3 linked regions of the Caenorhabditis elegans genome follow. The protein of the gene in region 1 interacts with the protein of each later gene in a pairwise test. Each region holds a gene or a part of one and is shown on either strand. Other genes may lie near its edges. The genes, in order: C38D4.7, ceh-89 and cash-1.

What was found.
Region 2: the proteins of C38D4.7 (region 1) and ceh-89 interact in a two-hybrid assay, tested with the Caenorhabditis elegans proteins (one large-scale study listed by BioGRID).
Region 3: the proteins of C38D4.7 (region 1) and cash-1 interact in a two-hybrid assay, tested with the Caenorhabditis elegans proteins (one large-scale study listed by BioGRID).

What each region holds. Positions count from the first base shown.
Region 1 is NC_003281.10:4,808,870-4,813,978, reverse strand, and holds C38D4.7 (C2H2-type domain-containing protein), read left to right. Parts: upstream 1-2,683; 5' UTR 2,684-2,828; coding exon 2,829-2,870; intron 2,871-2,914; coding exon 2,915-3,100; intron 3,101-3,155; coding exon 3,156-3,565; intron 3,566-3,611; coding exon 3,612-3,666; intron 3,667-3,710; coding exon 3,711-3,857; 3' UTR 3,858-3,948; downstream 3,949-5,109. Other genes in the region: arl-6 (ADP-ribosylation factor-like protein 6), read left to right, coding at 414-489, 540-670.
Region 2 is NC_003284.9:14,139,301-14,146,014, forward strand, and holds ceh-89 (Homeodomain-only protein), read left to right. Parts: upstream 1-2,645; coding exon 2,646-2,684; intron 2,685-2,834; coding exon 2,835-2,900; intron 2,901-2,946; coding exon 2,947-3,000; intron 3,001-4,072; coding exon 4,073-4,162; intron 4,163-4,205; coding exon 4,206-4,343; intron 4,344-4,399; coding exon 4,400-4,528; exon of another isoform or gene 4,529-4,738; intron 4,739-4,879; coding exon 4,880-4,891; 3' UTR 4,892-5,578; downstream 5,579-6,714. Other genes in the region: nkat-1 (Aminotransferase class I/classII large domain-containing protein), read right to left, coding at 323-633, 709-770.
Region 3 is NC_003283.11:10,359,965-10,367,306, reverse strand, and holds cash-1 (Striatin N-terminal domain-containing protein), read right to left. Parts: upstream 5,047-7,342; 5' UTR 4,983-5,046; coding exon 4,926-4,982; intron 4,878-4,925; coding exon 4,770-4,877; intron 4,725-4,769; coding exon 4,538-4,724; intron 4,495-4,537; coding exon 4,316-4,494; intron 4,264-4,315; coding exon 4,211-4,263; intron 4,164-4,210; coding exon 3,725-4,163; intron 3,676-3,724; coding exon 3,330-3,675; intron 2,854-3,329; coding exon 2,306-2,853; intron 2,257-2,305; coding exon 2,128-2,256; 3' UTR 1,373-2,127; downstream 1-1,372. Other genes in the region: putative tubulin polyglutamylase ttll-15, read right to left, coding at 6,063-6,363, 6,414-6,547, 6,598-6,723, 6,835-6,963, 7,010-7,094, 7,171-7,254, 7,301-7,342.

The sequences.
Region 1 (5,109 bases):
GAAGGTTGAACAGAGGAAGACAATCATAAAACAGTCAAAGAAATAAAATTTGAGTTTCCTAAAAGCTAGCATTTTACGATTGTGCTCAGTTTCTAGCCTAGAATAAAATAAAATAGAATTGTTTCAGTGAATGGAGGTACTAAAATATTTTTATTAAAAAATCCCAAAAAACATCATAATTAAATCGACTGTTCAAAAATTTTAGAATTTCGAGATTAGAATTTCGACACAATCTAAATCAGATGTTTACTTTCTATCCTCTCCGTACATTTATTAAGTAGAATAGGTGTTCCTGCATACGTGTCTCCCTACTGCCTATGTTTTTTGTACAAAAGTTGCTAGGGTTTTTTGGCAGAAATTTGTATCTGAATAGGTACGTATAAAACATGCAGACGTTTATTTAAACTTTACAGATTCCAATAGTCATTCTTGCCAACAAAATGGACATCCCTGGAGCGATGACTGCTTCGGATATTACGGTAGCTCTAGGTACTCCCACTTTTTCCCTTCCCAACTCTTCGACATATTATGTTTTACAGGCCTAAACCTGTATCGTAGTGGTACCTGGTCGATACACTCAACGTGTGCACTCACTGGAGATGGATTGGACAAGGCTATGCAACAACTTTCAGCTGAAATCACAAAATATATGGAATCAAGGAGAACTTGAGAAATTAAACTGTTTTTTGTAAACAATGCATGTGATCTTGTAAATTCTTGTAGAAAACCTACCAAATTCGTATCAATTGGCAAAGCTGTGTATTTAAAAAATATAATTTAGATTTGGAAACACATATGTTAACTGAAAGAGTAGGACTAGATATGATTTTGTCTAAATACTCTTAAAATGTCCCAAAAATCCAAATATCTAAACATGTTTAAGATTTTTCAACTTTTCCAGTCAACTTTGGCAAATTGCCAATTTTTTTACCAATTTGGACTTTATGAAAAACTTCGGGCAATTTTGTAAATTTGAACAATCACAGCGTTTAAATACATATAATTTAAATATAATTAAAATACAAAACTATTAGAAATCATATTTTCCGGATTTCCAAAATTATGTGCTTTGAAAACTGAGGAATTGCCACTTTTTGTGGACTTTGGAGAAAAAAAAATGTTTTCAATTGTTAAAGATATTTTACCATCAAGATCTGATTTTTCTAACCCCAATTTTATAAATTAAAACAAAAAGAACTGAAAAAAAATCATAAATTTCTAGTCAAAAATTACTCAGTTTTCACTTATCATCATTTTGGACGTTGATCATAAGTTGTATTGTATTGTATTTATTACGATAGAGTTGTTCAACAAATTTGGTAATTTGCCAAAAAATTTGACAAAATAGTCCGAAAAGTTGTTTCAATTAGATACTTGGTTTTTTGTAATATGTTTTAGTTTTAGTATATTTGGTATGAAACTCCTTACAATTGGAGATGATGTTCTTTTTTCCAATGTTCCACATTTTCCTAATAATCCGTTTTATCTTTCCTTGAATACATAAACACATTCTCTTGAAGATCATACTAATTGTTTATATCACAATGTGCTCTTCGTCGGGCTCGCGTCAAAAGATGCGCGAAAAGAAATGCGACACCTCCTCCTCCAACTGGGTCGGCGTTAGGCTTTTTCTTTATTCCTTCCGCATCACGCTCGTAAATCGTGGTATCAAGCTGAGAAGGGCCGTCTTTCTCTGGCTTCGGTATCGGTATCTCATTGCGAAAAAAGCAAAGGATATAAGCACTTAAATTATACAAAAGATTATACATTGTTTGGTGTTTTGCCGCACAGTAATCCGCAGTAAGACAATCCAAGTGGTTGCGCCACCCGTCTGTGAGAAACCAACAAAAAAGTTTCACAAAAGTTTGGAATACCTGGGTTAAATTACATTTTAAAAAGTTTCAGGAAAAAGTACATTCTGCATTTTAGATTTTTTATTTCGTTCATGTTTTGGTAAATTACCAAATATTCCAACAACGTTTTTTTTAGTAATTTAGAGAAATTTAGAATTGAAATATGAATATAAAGTTATTTTTTTGATTCGTTTAAAATTATAGAAAGATGCTTAACAATTTTAGAATATAATCCTCCAAATAATCGGGGAAAATTCTTCAATTGATAACTTTCATACTGTATACTTTCAGAATGCAACATGTTATCTTCAGGCCATTTAAATATTTTTCTATATTTTGAAACTAAATTTTAATTAAAAATATAGGCACAACATTCTGAAATAGGCTATTTTGTAGAAGTGATGCACACACAAACTTTGGCAGATTGTATCTCAGCTGCTATTAGTCTTAATATCAAAAAATGGCAACAAGAAAAATATGTTTTATGTATTTTTCTCTACGACATTGCTGTTGAAAATTTGTTGATATCTTTCAAATGCAGAGAGATATGAGCTTCCCAAAAGAGCAACTACGGCAAAAAATAAAAACTGTATTGTAAAAAATTTTCAAAAATTTGCTTTGAAAATTTTTTTTTGGAAATATATTCAGAATATTCTTTTCAATTTCATTGAAGTTTTCTAATTTTTCCCTTTAAAACAAAATGTTTTTAAAAAACGAAAAAGATGAACTTCCGTATGACCTCACGTGCCTCTTGAAGAGATGGGCGAAGCAACGTGTGCCACGTTTTTCGTCAGAATCGACATTCTCGATTTTAACAGTTCACTTTTTCACCTTTTCCTCTTTCCTTTTCAGCTTTTGATTCGGAATTTTTTTTATTAGAACGTGTTCACGCTATTCTTCTCGTTGGGTCTCGCCACGATCACTGTCGTTTTAGCTGCTAAAAGTGCAAATCTTCACAAAATCATACATTTCAGGATGAGCAAGCCAAGCACTCCAGCTCCAGCCTCTGCTGACCAAGTGAGTTTTTCATTTCATTGTACCTAAAAAATAATCGTTTTCAGAATGGCGATTCCGCCACCCGACAGACTGCCCAGACTACTGAAACTCCCGCGAGTTTGCTTTCTGCTGTGGGAAATGGTGCACCGAATATGGCGGGATTTACCCTCAACCGCGATATGGTCCCATTCTTCCCCTACCAACTCCAAAATCCGATGCTCCAACCACCACAAAACTCTTTGGAAAATGCGGTTAGTACATTGACTTTTACAATTGAGCCATTACTGAAATGGAATTATTTTTCAGATTGTGCACTCACTGGGTACTCTGGCTGCTCAGTCATCCATGTTTGGGCAGTTGTGTGAGAAGATGCTAAAAGCCCAAGAAGAAGCTCGCGCCGATCAACGATCCATTCGCGAAGAGCATCGAGCTGAAAGAGAGAAGGCCGACGAGCGGAGCCAGCAAAATATGGATAAGATGATGGCACTTGTCCATTCTCTCGTGGAACGTGTCGATAGGAGCCACGCTTCGTCATATGATGTGGTTGGTCAAAAGAATCCATCGTCCAGCTCCCTCAAACCAGCGAAAAGAGTCAAGTCTGCCGTTGTTCGTCAATCCAATTTAGCCAAGCGGACCGGAGCACCTGTTGATGCTGCAAAGGAGTTGAAAAAGATTCGAGATGAGGAAAACAGAAACCATGGACGATCTGCTGAAAGGTAATTCTAGTTGTGTTTTTTTTTTCAATTTAAATGAGAGTTTCAGAGATAATGTGTTCATCGGTGCAGTGCTGGTGGGGAAAGGATCTCAGTACGATAAGGTAAGCCTGAAAATTATAAAAAATTAGTTGAAGTTGTTTTTCAGGATCTTGAAAAATTCAAGAGCTTCCGATGCAGGACCTGCAATGAAGTTTCCCAGACGAAGGAGCAGCTCGTGGATCACTTTTCAAACAACCACGCCGGCGAACTTGGGGCGAGAAGGTCACTGCGAATAAAGCAGACCTCGTGTTAAATTTCTTTTTTAATTTATATTCGTTTTTGTTTTAAAATTTAAGCTTTTTTGATACAAATAAATTTTATAGTAAATAAATCTTGTTTCTCCTACCAGCTATCTAACTATTCCCAACAGTGGGTGGCAATAAATACGAGACGCGGCTCTTCTCACGGCGGTATCATAGATGCACAAAGAGCAAAACGATTACGCAACAGACAGCCGGGTCATATTCAGGTCAAACTTGATAGTGCATGAAATCGAGTAGTAAGCGACTCTTTGATATTTTCAGATGCTCCATTTGTTGTTCTTCATGACAGCTGCAGAGTTCCCAGATCGTAAATGTTTAATGTTCTGAAAGAAGGTACATAATCAGTCAAAGGGCGGTCTCATTGTTGCCTTTTATATCAAATCTTTGGAGGACAAATTGTCGATTTCAGCAACATTTTTTGTTAAGAATCTCCAACTTTTAGAATAACTATTTAATAGATCACTCGTTTCTGATAAGAGAAATAATTCTCTGCTACCGTAATCTTTGCTCCACATGAACCTGTCAGTCATAAATGCTCATTCGTATCGTACTCAATTAAACTTTCATCGCTCATTTATTTCCTAATGAACATCGTAATGGAACCTCAATTCCAGATGGGCTCAATGGCCGGTAGACTTACTATTATTTGGGCGAGTAGATCAAATATGAGGTGAGTGATCTATTTTTCAAATTATTTTAAAGGCGGGATCTCATTGAAATTAAATTTAGTGGCTAAAATTCTTCTTTTCTTAATTTTTGGCTAGATGATTTTTTCTAATCTTTTTCAAAATTTTATAATTTTTAAAATATTTATTTAAATAAAAAGATATTTAACAGCAAGTTAACTATTGAACAATAAATTAAATAAAAATCTTCGTAAATCGACAAGTGGAAAGTGCGCTCTATTGAGCTGATCAGTCAGTAAAAATTTTTCAGTGTTAATTTTTTTCTGTTCTTCATTTCTGTTGAGTTTTAACGTTTCTTTTATATTTGTCTTGCTAATTTCAATGCTAAAAATCAATTCTAAAAACGCATATTTTATTAAAGTAAGAAAATCCATCTTCGAATACAGTCTCGGACAGTTTCCTGCACAGACCAATAATTTATTTCCCAACGAACTGGGCGTTTTTGTTTCCTTGCCGACCTGTCTCATTGTAAAAGTGATATGTTTGTCTGAAAATCGACGTGTGGCTATAAATCATTCACAATTCCCTCTCCCGTTCATATCTGATAAATCCCGCC
Region 2 (6,714 bases), on another chromosome or scaffold:
AACCACCTTTTCGCACTACGTTGCGCACACACCAAGCTACTCGTTTCACGCCAAACTGCGGAACCCCAAACGTGTCGGCCGCCCCAAATAACTACCTTTGCACTTCGTTGCATACACACAGCGGCGCGCGGCGTCGGCGTGAAGCCAGTGCGAGGCATTTCGCGCTTCACTCAGCTGGGAGCCTTACATTGTTGTAAATCATTAGCAAAAAAAAACGTTAGCAAATATAAAGCCTTCCTGATATTGCATTCTTTTTTTCAAATTAAAACTTTTTTAAACGAACTATAAGACCAACCCTTATTATTATATACAATAAACTCACTGATAACTTCGTCTCCTTTACTAATCCACCCGAGGAATGAATAGTACAGGGCATTGTAGGCGCCGACGGTAATCAGGATATCATCGGTTGCGTTAACGTTCACACCGTAGAAATAAGAGTAAATTTTGGAGAGAATCCCAACCAAGTCTGGATGGCCAAACGCTCGCGTATACTGATGCGACTCAATTTTCTCCGGATGACTAGCGATGTCCTTTAAGATCTCAGTGACAAATTTTGGTGCTGGTGAATCTGGGAATCCTTGGCCAAGGCTCACCGCCTTATTTTCGATGGCAAGTTTTCCGAACTCTACCCTGCAAAAATATTCTTTAGGTTGGAGCTTCAGGGTCTTTTACATTCAACTTTCAACATAATATTGAATAACTAACCAAATCGACTCCTGATGCTCCCCGACGTTTTCAGATGGTTGTCTCGCAAAATTCGTCAACATGTTTCACTCGTTGAAATGGCAAAAAAAGTTTCTGGAAAAGAAAAATGTTTGAAACGACGTCAGAATGTTTCTATAAAGACGAATAAAGAGCAAAAAGTTGTATAGAAAAAAAAATGAACCGTCTGTTAGAAGAAGAGCAAAAAGCTTCTCACTAAGTGATATTTGTTTTGGAAGCCGAAACATTTTCAACTATGTTTGATGACATTCATGACAAATGTAGGAGACGAGTAATCTAAATATGTCACAAACGGTGAATTAAACTTAACAGTTTAAATTATAAAGAGCCTTCAAGGTAACACCTTTTTAACTTCAGTTTAAAAAATTTTAATGAATGATTTTAAATTTCCAAAACTACAAATATTTCCTAATATGTAATATGGTCCGAAAACACAAAAAATAGACAATGGAAAAAAACGAAATTACAGAATAAAAAGATAAATCACGGCCTATTACCAGTATTCATAAATAAATGATTGCGCCATTTCATATGAAGAAACCGACTCACAAAAGTGCATCCAACCTCAGAGACTGTGTTCTTCTAGTTTCTGTCCAATCGCCATTTGTTACAATATTTCGTTATTGTGTATCTATCCATGTCTGGGGCAGTCGAAAAATCCAATGCTTTTATGATCGGTCTAGACAGCAGAAATTATTTCCACATCACGCAGCTTACCCAGATGCTCATTGATGATTTTGGTAGAGTAAATGATGTGGACTTGGAAATGCAGTTACCGAATGACCTCTATTAGTCTTGCATGTTGGACTAAATTTAAATTGGGCCGTAGGAGTGCAAGACTAATAGAGATCGCAAGACTATTTACTGAATATCAAATAGCTTCTGGAAAAGTGAACAAAAGAACAAAATTGTAGAAAACCCAACTTGGTACCGTTTAAATAATAAAAACTACAGAATCACCAAGCTTATATTGAACAATTCGATGTGAAAGTGTGTCTTGAATGAACGACAATTGACCACATTTGAATAACAATAAATAAATTTTGAGATGAATGTTATATCATTATGAGATATCTAGAGTACTTTAAGATTATTTGCCATTTGGAGAGAATTAGTGTTTTACTAGTTCTGTACTTATGTATGTAGTAGCATTTAAAACTACAATATGAGTACAGTTTTTTCATTAAACTCAGAGTGCAGAGCTTCTGCTGTTTGGCGTTTTCAGATTTGGCAGTTTGTGCAATTAGTTTGTGTTTCTGTTAAATTTCACTGTCATTCATTACTTGTTTTACTTATTACCTAAAATGTGAATATTCCAGCACTTGGCTCTGATAACTGTTTTTGTTTGTTTTCTAAGTGTCTATCAACTCCATTGCGTGCGTCACTTTTGATGCGTTTTCCCGCGTCACAATCTGATTTGCAAAACGGAGTCAGTTTTGAAAGAACATCTGTTAGCTCTCATATCTCTCCTATTTTTTCATTCATCTCACTAACACACTTGACCGGAGATTGCATATTAGAATAAAGTACGAGACCGAGACATAGAGGGTAGAAATGTTGGGAGAGTGTGCGCTTGCACTCTTCATCGATTTTCTAAGTTTATTTTTTCCTTTTAAGAATACGGCCAATTTGATAACACAACTAGTTTCTAGTTTTCACTATCTAGCTTCTAGATTTAACTCTTTTTACATTAAGTCCCACATTTCCTGTTTTGTTTCAATTTAAAAGCGGTTTTTTTAACATCCCGCTTCTTGTGCGATAGAGCGAAGTTGACTCTGTAGCATTTTGTTTTTATAAGCCTAAAATATTTGCATGCGATTTCCACATTTCTCCAACAATTGAATAGCATTTTCTTAGAAATAACTAAAAAAAACCTTTTCAGATTATACATTTTCAAAACTTATTTATTTAGTTTTCAGATGGCTCCATCAAAAAGAAGTTCGAAAAAGTCACGCACAGTAAGTTGTTAACTTTATTTTTTAAAAAGTATTTTTCTTTACACATTACATTTTATTTTCTGTTGTAAAGATACTTGAACTAATTTTAAGCCAAAAACTAATCAAATTTGGATTAAAACTAAGTAAAAACAATAGACAAACAATTTTCAGAAAAATGTCAGGAGAGAGACGGAAAACTCAAAAACTCAGAAACAATCAACACGGAATCTTCCGAACGTATGATTTGCATCACAAAATAGTCACACTAATATAAAAATTGCAGAGAGCTTGCAAACTGAAATCACTTCCAGCTACAACAAAGTCACATTCGGATTCAGTAAGTTTTTACTTTCTTGTAAAAATAGAAACCGTTAAAAGATTTATCATTTCTAAATAATAACTTGCAAAAGCGCCAAACTAGAAGGAGCCAGAATCCTGTAGTCAAAAAGCGTATTTCATCTTCATCGTCTTCATCTTCGTCTCGTTCGAAGTCTTCTGATAAGTCTAAGAATGTATCAATTCCAGAAGTAAGTTGAAACGTTAACAAAAAGTGCTTCAAAGCAAAAGAAATCATAATGTTAAGTCATCTTTTTTTGTTCATTCTAATTCATAATTCTAATTTTAAATTTGAAAATTCAAAATAAGAATCCTTAAAAACATGTTTAATAACGCTTCAAATCATTAAAATTTAAAAATAGCTAGAATTGTCCTAGGAGGTAGTAGGACAAGGAAATAAGGCCAAATATTTATTTATGAATAAGAAGAAGGGGGGAAACAATAGTGTATATTCTTGGGGAACTGACCGGCTCCTTTTATATGGTCTCTTAATTCGATCAGCAGGGGCGTGAGGAAGCAAGGGAATATGGTAATAAAACATTTTCTGGGAATGTGAATTCGAGGGAATATGGGAATATGGTAATAAAATATTTTCTGGGAATGTGAATAGTCAGAATATTATGGATCAAACATTAAGAATCGCCTTCGATGCGACAAGAATCTTAAATTTTGCCAATTTTACAGTATCGCAGCTGGCGGAAGGTGATTTTTATGTGATTTTTGTTAATTGAAGTATATTTTATTTTTCTGAAAACTTACTGTGTACTAAAAACGTGCTTAAATTTAAAACAAACGCTGAGTTATCAATCAAAATAAGAAAAAAAATTTGTTAAAGATTGGTTTCAGCTCACTAGAAAAATGACAAATATAATAATTCAAAATATTCCGAGTTTAATTAGACCAGAATATAAATTTCACTGTGATAAAAAAAAATCAAAATTAAGATACACATAATTTTTGCTGATCTTGAATCATTTTTTCAACTGTTTCATATGCTTATATATTTAGCTAAATTCTAATACATTCAAATAAGAATGTTTGAAGAAAACGTTTGAAAATACTCTAAATTTCAGGCAGATCAAACACTTGGAATCGAAAGATCAAGACGTGAAGATTCTTCGTCATCCGAATTATCCGAATGTTACTCTGCACAGAATTATTTGGTAACGTTAAATTGTGCTACTAAATTTTAATTTTGAGCTACAGATTCAAAACGCGTACTACTCGGAAAAATATGCTCCAGCTATCATACACAAATTGCTTCCTGCCTTTGAGGCAAACAAAAATCCAAACAACGATGAAATTTTGGAAATAATGGCAGATACAGGATTATCTCGAAAAGAAGTTAGTTTTTTTTTTTACTTTAAAAATTCTCCTTAAAAAAACTCTAACGCGTTTAGGTTCGTCGCTGGTTCCAATGGCGTAATGGCACAAACTTCAGAATTGTTAGGCCAGTGACTGAGGAGCAGAAAAAACGGGCTGCTGAACGAGAAAGAAGCAGAGCTCATTTGAAAGTGGACCTGGAACAGGTGAATCCAATACTAGAAGCTATTCCTACAAGGAATCGGAACTGTGTCGCGGGGGGAATACTGCAACTAGACGTTCAGTCATTTAAAGAGCCTGAACTAATTGTATATGGTTGGTGGCCATTTGGGACTGTGGAAATGGATGATTTCGAAACGTACGATTATCCTTGGGATGATGATGGAGAAGTTGATAGGGAATGGTAAATAACAACGGTAAATGTTTGTAAAGTTCACTTGAGATATGTTGTCTATTTTGGACAATATGGATATGGCTTTGAACAAAAATGAACTAATTGTAAGAAGAAAAACCCTATATTTTTTGATATTCTGCAAAACTAAACTTTTTATTTTCAGGACCCGATCTGAAAAAGAATTGTTGAAGAAACACCCATTGTATTGACAACAAAAAAGCAGCATTTTAAAATAAAGATAACACATTAACTATTTATCTGTCTGTTCCCCATTTTCACTGACTCCACTCTTACATCTACTTTAAGGGTCCTTTTTCCATCCTTCTTTGCAGACCTAACAAATCTAAAAAAACAATCGTATAATATCTGAATTAATTAACCTTTCACGACTTGTAATTAACCCATATTATTATATTTGCTTGGAAAAATAGGATTTTTTAAAAAATGTTGACAGATCCTTTCCAATCATCAATTTCCCATATTCACCATGTCAAAAACACGTTAAGTATTTACGAGAACTCAAGCATGCTCTGTAGAGAACTGTTTAAATTTTCCTTATTTTATGTTTCCGGTTTGCCGACCTGTTTGAGATTTCAAAGCTACAGTATTTTCAAAACGATGTTGCTTTAATACTTATGCTACATTTATTTCTCTATTGGACCTGCACTCAATAATATCAATTGAGACATACATTTCCAGTCCTTATCTATTTGTCTTACTAAAATGTGAACTTTTATCAGTCTTGCTTTCAAGTTATTTTATTCCATTTCAGTTGTATTTTTTAATAACTTTTAATATTTTTGAAATGCGCTGTTAATATTTTTAATTGATACTTTCTATTTAATTTAAATTGTTTATTCCGTGTTTTTACGTGCATTTTCGGATAATCGGCTTCCAAATATACCAAAAATTGAGTGCCTACCGATTGAAACTGTAAGCTAATAACAACTAGGCCTGTTGAATGGGTCGAGATGGGTCGACCCGCGACCCAATTTTGGGTCGGGGTCGCGTCCCCGACCCATTTTCGGAAAATGTCTGAAATTGAAAAAAAAAGTTTGTTTTGTTGTAAATCGTGTTTAAACGTTGACTCTTATGCTTGTTTGTATCGAAAATAGGATATGTTTTTTTAATTGATGAAAATACGATAATTTTATAATTTTCAGCTTTTACACGTGTTTTTTGACAAAAAATAGTTTTTCAAGTTTTTGATAACTTTCTGTTAAATTTTGAAAAAAATGGGTCGGGGACATGACCCCGACCCAAAAAGTGGGTCGGGGCCGCAACCCCGACCCAAAAAATGGGTCGGGGACGCGACCCCAACCCGGCCGACCCAAAAAAAATGGGGCGACCCACTCCACAGGCCTAATAACAACAATGCAGACAAAATATACAAAATAGCAGTATATTCGAATAAAAATTCATATCTGTCCACTGCGAGAAGAACGAGTAATTAATATGTCTTTTTTTTTATATTTTGCACGTTTCTGTTTTTGTGGTGTCCTTGTTCTATATAAAGGACTACACACCAAAAAACAACTGAATAATAGACGTTGTTGACATGCTTGTTTGTGGATTTTCAGAGATCAAATCCCACGTTTTCGGTTTTTTTTGTCGTTTTTTCGGAATCTCTAAAATGTATATTCTTTGTTTTTAGTAGTTCATATTATTATAAAAGAAAAAAAACTGCACATCTGGTAAACAATATAGAAAAAGAGAGTTGCGAAACTTCAAAAATTTGTTATTTAATGTCTTGCGACACTTAAAAAACCGGCATTTTACAGTTTATGTTGTGTTTTTTGTTTGTCGGTTGTCTTATCATCTTGTGGTTTTGGATGCATTTTTCACTTGGCAAGTTGTTTACCACTTTCTTCCGACCGCATGCTTTTTTTGCTTCGTTGGTTTTTTCAAAGTAAGACGGTTGTCATACAACAAATATCACAAGGAAATCACATATTTCACTGTTTCAACACCATGCCCATTTTACTCCAGACAAAAAGT
Region 3 (7,342 bases), on another chromosome or scaffold:
TTTCACACTTTTAAAACGCGTAATCACTGAGGCTTTGTAGAGTATAAAATCTGTGAAAGTTGATGCGCCAAACTCCGCATTTTATGAAGTAAATTTATGCTATTACGTATCTATGGATAATATTAACGCTACCTACACATACGTCACGCATGGATGTTTCGCCATTTGTAAAACTAAAAAAACTACAAATATTTCAATAAATGTTTGGAACATCGTAAATTATTTCCCAATTCCACGATTTTAAATAGGACGCATTTAAATATGCGAAATGGTCTCGCCACGGGCCACCCATTAACTTTCAAATAATGTTTTAGTTCAGTTAAGTTCAGAAGATGGCTAGCGATTTGAAAAATATTTGCGATTTAAAAAAATATTTTATTTCATTTCTGGTGCTTTTTTTACAAAAATTGGACGGGGACGATAGAAAAACTGTACAAAATGAACGAAACTCCGAAACAACAAGAACATAGAAAATTACAGTACTCCTTCAAGGCGCATACCATTTTGAAATGACGAAAACTTGTCGTGGCGAGACCGGGCACCGTATTTGTGACGAAAAAATCGAGAGATCCAATGAACACTGTGATAATGATTGCAGAAAAGACACAAAATATGTGTTAATAATTATTATTGAAACTTAGGAAAGGTGTAAATTTGTTAATTCAGACACGATATATCAATCCAATCTGTGAATGATCTCATTGATATGTTTTTTTTCTCATTTTCAGAAAAATTAATTCCCATGGAAAACTATTCTGTTTCAATCGTATTTCTTAACAATGAGAATATTCTCAGTTTTTCCTGATTCATTTATTCAATCAAAATCAAGTACATTATGGCTTTATGACGTAATATTCATAAATATTTCTAAAACGAAAACCAAAAGCGAAAAAGTCAAACATAAAATAACTTGGCGACATTTTTTTTCCAACTTCTCTTCAACATAATCCTTAATCAGTTTGATTCTTGAGAACAGAAAACAATTGAATAAAACAATGACACGAGATTTAGTTAGTTAGCATATTTTATTATTCACTTTTTTTCTTTGTCTTTAAAATTTTAGATTGATTTATATCTATTGGGTTCTTCAATTTGGAATCGAGCTTATAGATATACCTTAATCTTCCCATTCAGCGTTTGGTCTGACGTAGAAAATGTTCATTCAGGTCACATAGTTTCCAGCAAAAGTAGATATTGCCATTCCTCATCGACTATTGGATCAATAGATGGTTTTAAATGGTTTTTTTTTTCTGGTTACGGTACTCAATTTATAAAATTCAAGAAATCATTAATTTTCGTTTGATAATTGCCCAATTGCCCAACACTGAAATGGTAGAAGTGAAAAATTCTGTATTCGTGCAAAAAATCAAACTAGAATTCTCAGTAATTTATGATACAGTTCAAGACATAGTTGAAACACTGTCAGTCGACCGAGATAGAAACAAAGAATAACAGATAATAATGGTAAAGAGAGACGAGGATGAAGTAGAGGAAAATGATGAGAACTTACGGTCTGAATTTGGATTCTCGAGGATATCTGGTTATTGATTAAAACTAAGCGTTTTGAGAATGGAAACAATGCCGAGAGAACAAAACATGGCGCAGAAAGGGTATCTAAGAGAAATAGGAACACGAGTCGAAATTTGTGCAGTTTAAAGATGAGCTAATCAATCAATATCCTATAGATTGTTTTAACCCGATTTGTATCGGTGTTGTTTCACATTACTGCCATAGAAAATATAAAAAATTGTTCGCCCAAATAACCACTGCAACCACTTCAGAAGATGGTTAATTTGAGCTAACTGCGACGTAATATTTACAGGATTGCAGATTAGGTTGACAAGTGTCAAAATGCTCATTTTCGACCCGTGATCAAATTTCATATTTAAAAAGAAATCAATCGAGGGAAGGAGGGGACAGATAAATTACGTTTAGATTTGAATAAAAATGGTTGTTGGTTATCTACAATAAAATAAAGGGTACTGTTGTAGTAATAAAAATGAAGGTATGTAGGCGTGGATTTGGGCATGAACTGGGAGACGAACTGGCGAATTCCTATTATACTTTAAGTTAAATTGGCGAAATATGAAAATAGGGAAATAATAATAAAAAAATGAATGGGATACTCTAGTTGCTTCCTGACACGTACACCTTGGCAAGAGAATCGGCACCGGCAGATCCTATAAGAGATCTTGAAGGATGGAAAGCAACGGAGGTAACTGCTGAATCATTCTTTTTCCGGTGGGCAGAAATTTCCTGAAAAATACTACATTTGTACAGTTTCTTAATTTATAAAAAAATATACCTGAAGGCATGAACGTTTCTCCATATTCCACATCCTGATACTACCATCATGACTTCCAGACAAAAGATAAAGACCATTTGGATCAATAGCAAGAGAAGAAACTCCCTCAACATGTGCGATAGCTTCATGAATTATCGATCCGTTGGTGTTGTCAAAGTACCGAATCGTCCGATCTTCACCGCCAATAAGTGTGAGAGGCATTGTTGGATGACTAACAATTTTGTTCATTGTTGGTGAACCTGTAACCGCTCCGAAATCGAACACCATGACAGTGCTTCCAGTATCGATATCAATAATTTGAGCATAGCAATTTGTGTATGCAGCAAGTAAATGTGATGTTTCCGTAGATACAAAATCAACTGATGTCGGAAGTATTCCGGATTTTGGGGCACCAATAGTTCTGATAAGTGGTTCACCATTTCCTGGTTCCCATAGACGAACCGTTGAATCAGAACTGGCAGAAACAAGGCGACTGTTTGATGAATGATAAGCCACCGACCAAATTGCATCCGTATGTCCAGTAAGTGTTTCAGTTAGGACTCGTGGATCTATAATAAATAACATAACCTTAAATTTGAACTAATTATTAAATTAACTTTAGTCTTATTGTTTGGCGAAAATTTAAACTAAAAATAGCGTTGAATCGTTTGAATCTGTATCGCAAAAGGTAACTGATACTTTGATATTTGAACATGTTATCATAATTTGGCGAAATTTTGTTGTTAGCTTAAAGGCACGCATCGTTTTCCGAGTGGGTCTCATAACGATTTCAGTCATAGTGGTAGCTACGAATGATTCACTTTTATTAGAAAATTGATTTTGAGAGAAAACTAAACTTCTAAAATTGCACTGAGAAAGTCCAAATTCTTCATAAAATATTATGCATCTAGTGTCCCGTTTCTGCGAAAGGACGATACTAATTTCAATGCATAATCTTTTTTTTCCAAACGATTTTGCACAAAATGAAGCAAATTGTGATTAATTAGTTTTTGACAGCTCATTTTAATTAAGAAATAAATCTTACCATAAGAATCAAATGGATCCCCGTTTGAAGATGGTACATTGAAACAGCAGATGTTTCCATCGATACCTCCGGTGTAGAGATGATCTCCAGTTGGCGACAGGACTAAGCATAGAACAGGGCCTTTGTGTCCCCGGAATGTATAAACTGGCTCAAGCTCGGTACCACCACTGTTGTGTTTCTCATCTTTCTTTTGATCGAGATTCCATAATTTGATCAGACCGTCTTCCGAAGCAGTAAATAGTACGGGCTCAACTGGATGGAATTGCATCGCGCGAATCGAATCAAGGTGAGATCGTAGAGTAACTTTGATATTCCACTTCACTTGTTGTGCATTCGGATCATCATCCTGAATTTGACAATTATTTTTCTTTTATTTTTAAAACTGAAAAACTCACTTCATCTTTGAACTCGTCCTTAATGTCCATATTATCATTATCTTGCATTCCAAGAGCAACGTCCAACTCATTTCCGTTACCATATCCAAAATTAGCACTACGTCTACCTTGTCGCCGAACTGGAAGTTCTTCTTGTGCAGCGGCATCGATAGCTGATCGAATTCCTGGTGGAACATCAGTCTCTAGATTTTTCTGAACATCGTTGCTTGTTTTCTCTTCGGATTCTTCAGTTGACGTCCTTGAACGCCGCTTCACTTTTGGATCGTCCTTGTATTGTTTTATCAGTTTTTCGAATGAAGCTCCTTTTCCTGCCCAGTCATCGTCAGAACCTTTTTCTTTCGCATCCATATTGTTTAGAAAATCAAACTCTTCAAACGCCTTTGAGGCGTCAGCATCCAAGGCTGCATCATCATGTCCGTCATCGGAATCACTGTAATTACTTAGAACGATTGCTATGTGTTCAAAAAGAAAGTAGTGAATAAGTACCTGTCACTTTTCTCTTTTCTACCATTGAGACGTTCACTGGATGGAAGATCAGCCTGGAAGTTCAAAACAGATTGGTTTTTTTTTCAAACTATTGAATTTTCATACTTGGGGTAATAATCCGAGAAGATTTTTTACACGGAAGGATCGAACATCCATGATGTGCTCGCTGTATCCAATTTCTTCCAGATAACGTTTGAGAAGAAGGCGTCCCTGCCTGAAACTACCTCCAGCTTCACCAGCATCATTTATGTATGCATCAAGGTCGGCCGTCAAATGGCTGTTTTCTGAAATATATATTTTCGATCGGAACGTCTTCATAGAAATTACCGCTTGGCGCTGAATTTTCATTTGGAGATTCTTCCAGTGATGGTGGTTCTTCGCCGTTGTGGGTTAGTCGATAATTTTTGGCACGTTCTTGTTTCAGGCAGAATTCGAGCATTTTGATACGACGGACAAGATCTTGTTTCAAATTTTCTTGACCTTTTCTTTCTCCTTGTAGGAAAGCAATACGAGCCTACAAAAATTTCACATTACAATCGTAGAAAAAATATTTACTCACCTGCATTTCGGCTCTCTCTGCTTCCCACCTAGTTCGATCTAACTCATTTTTTGTCCATTCGTGTTGTATAAAGTGCAAAATACCCGACATTGTATACTGAGGACGAGTCTGTAAAGTTTTCGATTTTTACAGAAGCTGAATTCCAACTCAACTTACCGTTTCGTCCTTTGCTTTGTCATTTTGTGAGTTTGACAATTGACTGGCGTCCTCCATTGTAAACTACTCGAATCCGATCTTATTTCGAGTAATTTACGTTAATGAAGCAAGTGCAAAAGCTGGAAAGAACAGTTGAAAAAAATTACGAAACGTGTATAAGAAGATTTTCAAAAAGTTTAATTGCAATAGAGGACGAGAAGTTTGTGGCAAAATTGAAACTGCTTATTAGGGCTGTAATCAATATAGATGAGCTGATAAAATAAAAGTAGCATCAAGTCGTACGAGACTGATGAAAAACTGATTCGATTAGGTGGACGCAGCCCCGAGGCACGAGGAAGAAAAGGGAAGAGCGAGTAAAACGAGTGCCGTTGTCTGCGTCGCGTGTTCGGCGCGCGTCTTCATATTAACAATGGGGCGCATATTCGTTGCAATTATTGGCGCCTTTTCAAATTTGAAAGGTAGACTTTCTATAAGTACCGTATGCCACTAACAATTAAAAAATACAAATGTGAAATCTATTTTCCATTTGAATTTCAAAATGCTAATATATTAAGTGGCTTAGCAGACTGTATCCGTTAACCAAAAATATGAGAAACTTGAACTTTGCCAACATAAAACCACCAGCTGAAAATCAAATGCATTTACTTGGGTTTTGGATCTTGGAGAAACTTTTATTATATTATTTAATCACCTGCTGATGTAGTTAGAAAAAAGGAATGAGATTTTATTGTCTCAAATTTTATCTAAATTTCACGCGTATTACGTTTCAAGCATATTCAGGTACTTATTTGCATCACATAATATCTTTTTTCATCGAAAAGATTGTTTCAAAAACAAAATTGAAAAACAAAAACGGAATGATTTATTTGAAAATTAAAATTGATTACTTATATCCGATATATTCAATTTATTTTTCAAAAACAGTAAGATAACGTTCAGTTGGTGACCAATTTTTACTGAATAAAATAATGAGATCAAGAGAAACTTTCAAAAAAACTTCAATCTCAAAACCCGCTATGCAAGATTGTCTTAAAAACTCCCAGAAAGTTGCATTTGAAAATTTCTAAGTATTTTTTGAAAAAACCGGGACCGTCATAGTTTTGGCCAATACAATAATAAAATGTACAGCACGCTACTTTAACACCACGTATTATCCAATTGACATTTGGTGCTTAACCATAATGTGAGAAGATGATCTTCTTTTGTTAATGGATGATGATTTTCATAGTCGAACTGAATTCGTTTCATCTGCTTCCTGTTCGAATTTTCCACAAAAGTCTGCTCCAGTATTTTCCTTGTTTCTGTATTCATACAGTGTCCGCATAGCTGGCATTCTGGAGCCTCATCACATGATTCACATTTATTTTCAACACAAAATTTCAGCGGAAGATTGATGTCTCGGGAGTTAACAAGAGGATTTTGTTCGGATGTACGTGATCTAGAACGGGAAATCTAATTTGTGGACAGCTTCAAATGGAATAAACGAACTTGAACAAGATGTCAGCTTCTTTTGTAATTGGTGTTGAAATTCCAGTTAGAGAGAAAATGTTCATTAGAACTTGTTCATAAAGTATTTGATTTTGTTTAAAATGACCTGAAGAGAGATTAGGAGACATATTCGCCTGCAAAGATGTCTTGTAAATTTTAATGATTCTGAAAAATAAATGCATACCTCCATAAGAAAAACGTTCAATTGATCATCGACCACAAAATCAAATCTGCTTAATTCAAAGTATTGTGGATTTAATTTCAAGTTTTGAAGACTCATTAGCATTTTTGTTTGCTGTGTTCGGAAGACCTGAAAAAAGATAATGAAGTTCAGAAAAAGTGTGCAAAATTTTTTGATCGTCTCCTTTGAATATCTAGAAAATATGCATCACAGAGATTAGTTGAGAGTTCTAAATATTACCTCTCCAATAATATTTCTTATCTGCAACCAAATCTTGCTTGTATCCATTCCTTGCATTCCCAAATAAGAATCAATTGTACTCTTGAAGCTCATTTTTTGAGTGTTGAAGTATTTTTTCAATGAATTTATCTGAATATCTTGGGTATATTATTAAAGCTTTTAGAATTTGGTTTACCTCCCAAATAGGTGTATAGTCATCTCCAACAACATATTTATCCACATTATTCGCATCAAATGGATGGTAGTCTTCTGGACAAAATCTAGAATAATTCAATTTTAGAATTTTTTCTGGTTTCCAGAAGCGAATATCAAAAACAAATATTTTTAAACGCTCACCTGATGAGAACATCACCATCGTAAATGTAAACACGTAAAGGCAGAAGAGATGTTACTACTGTATAGATTCCAATATCAAATTTTCTAAAAACGAATTTTCATTATATCACCCAAATTTAATAATTCAAACTTATTATCAATCAGCAATGGATTGTCTACAAATTTTTGGACA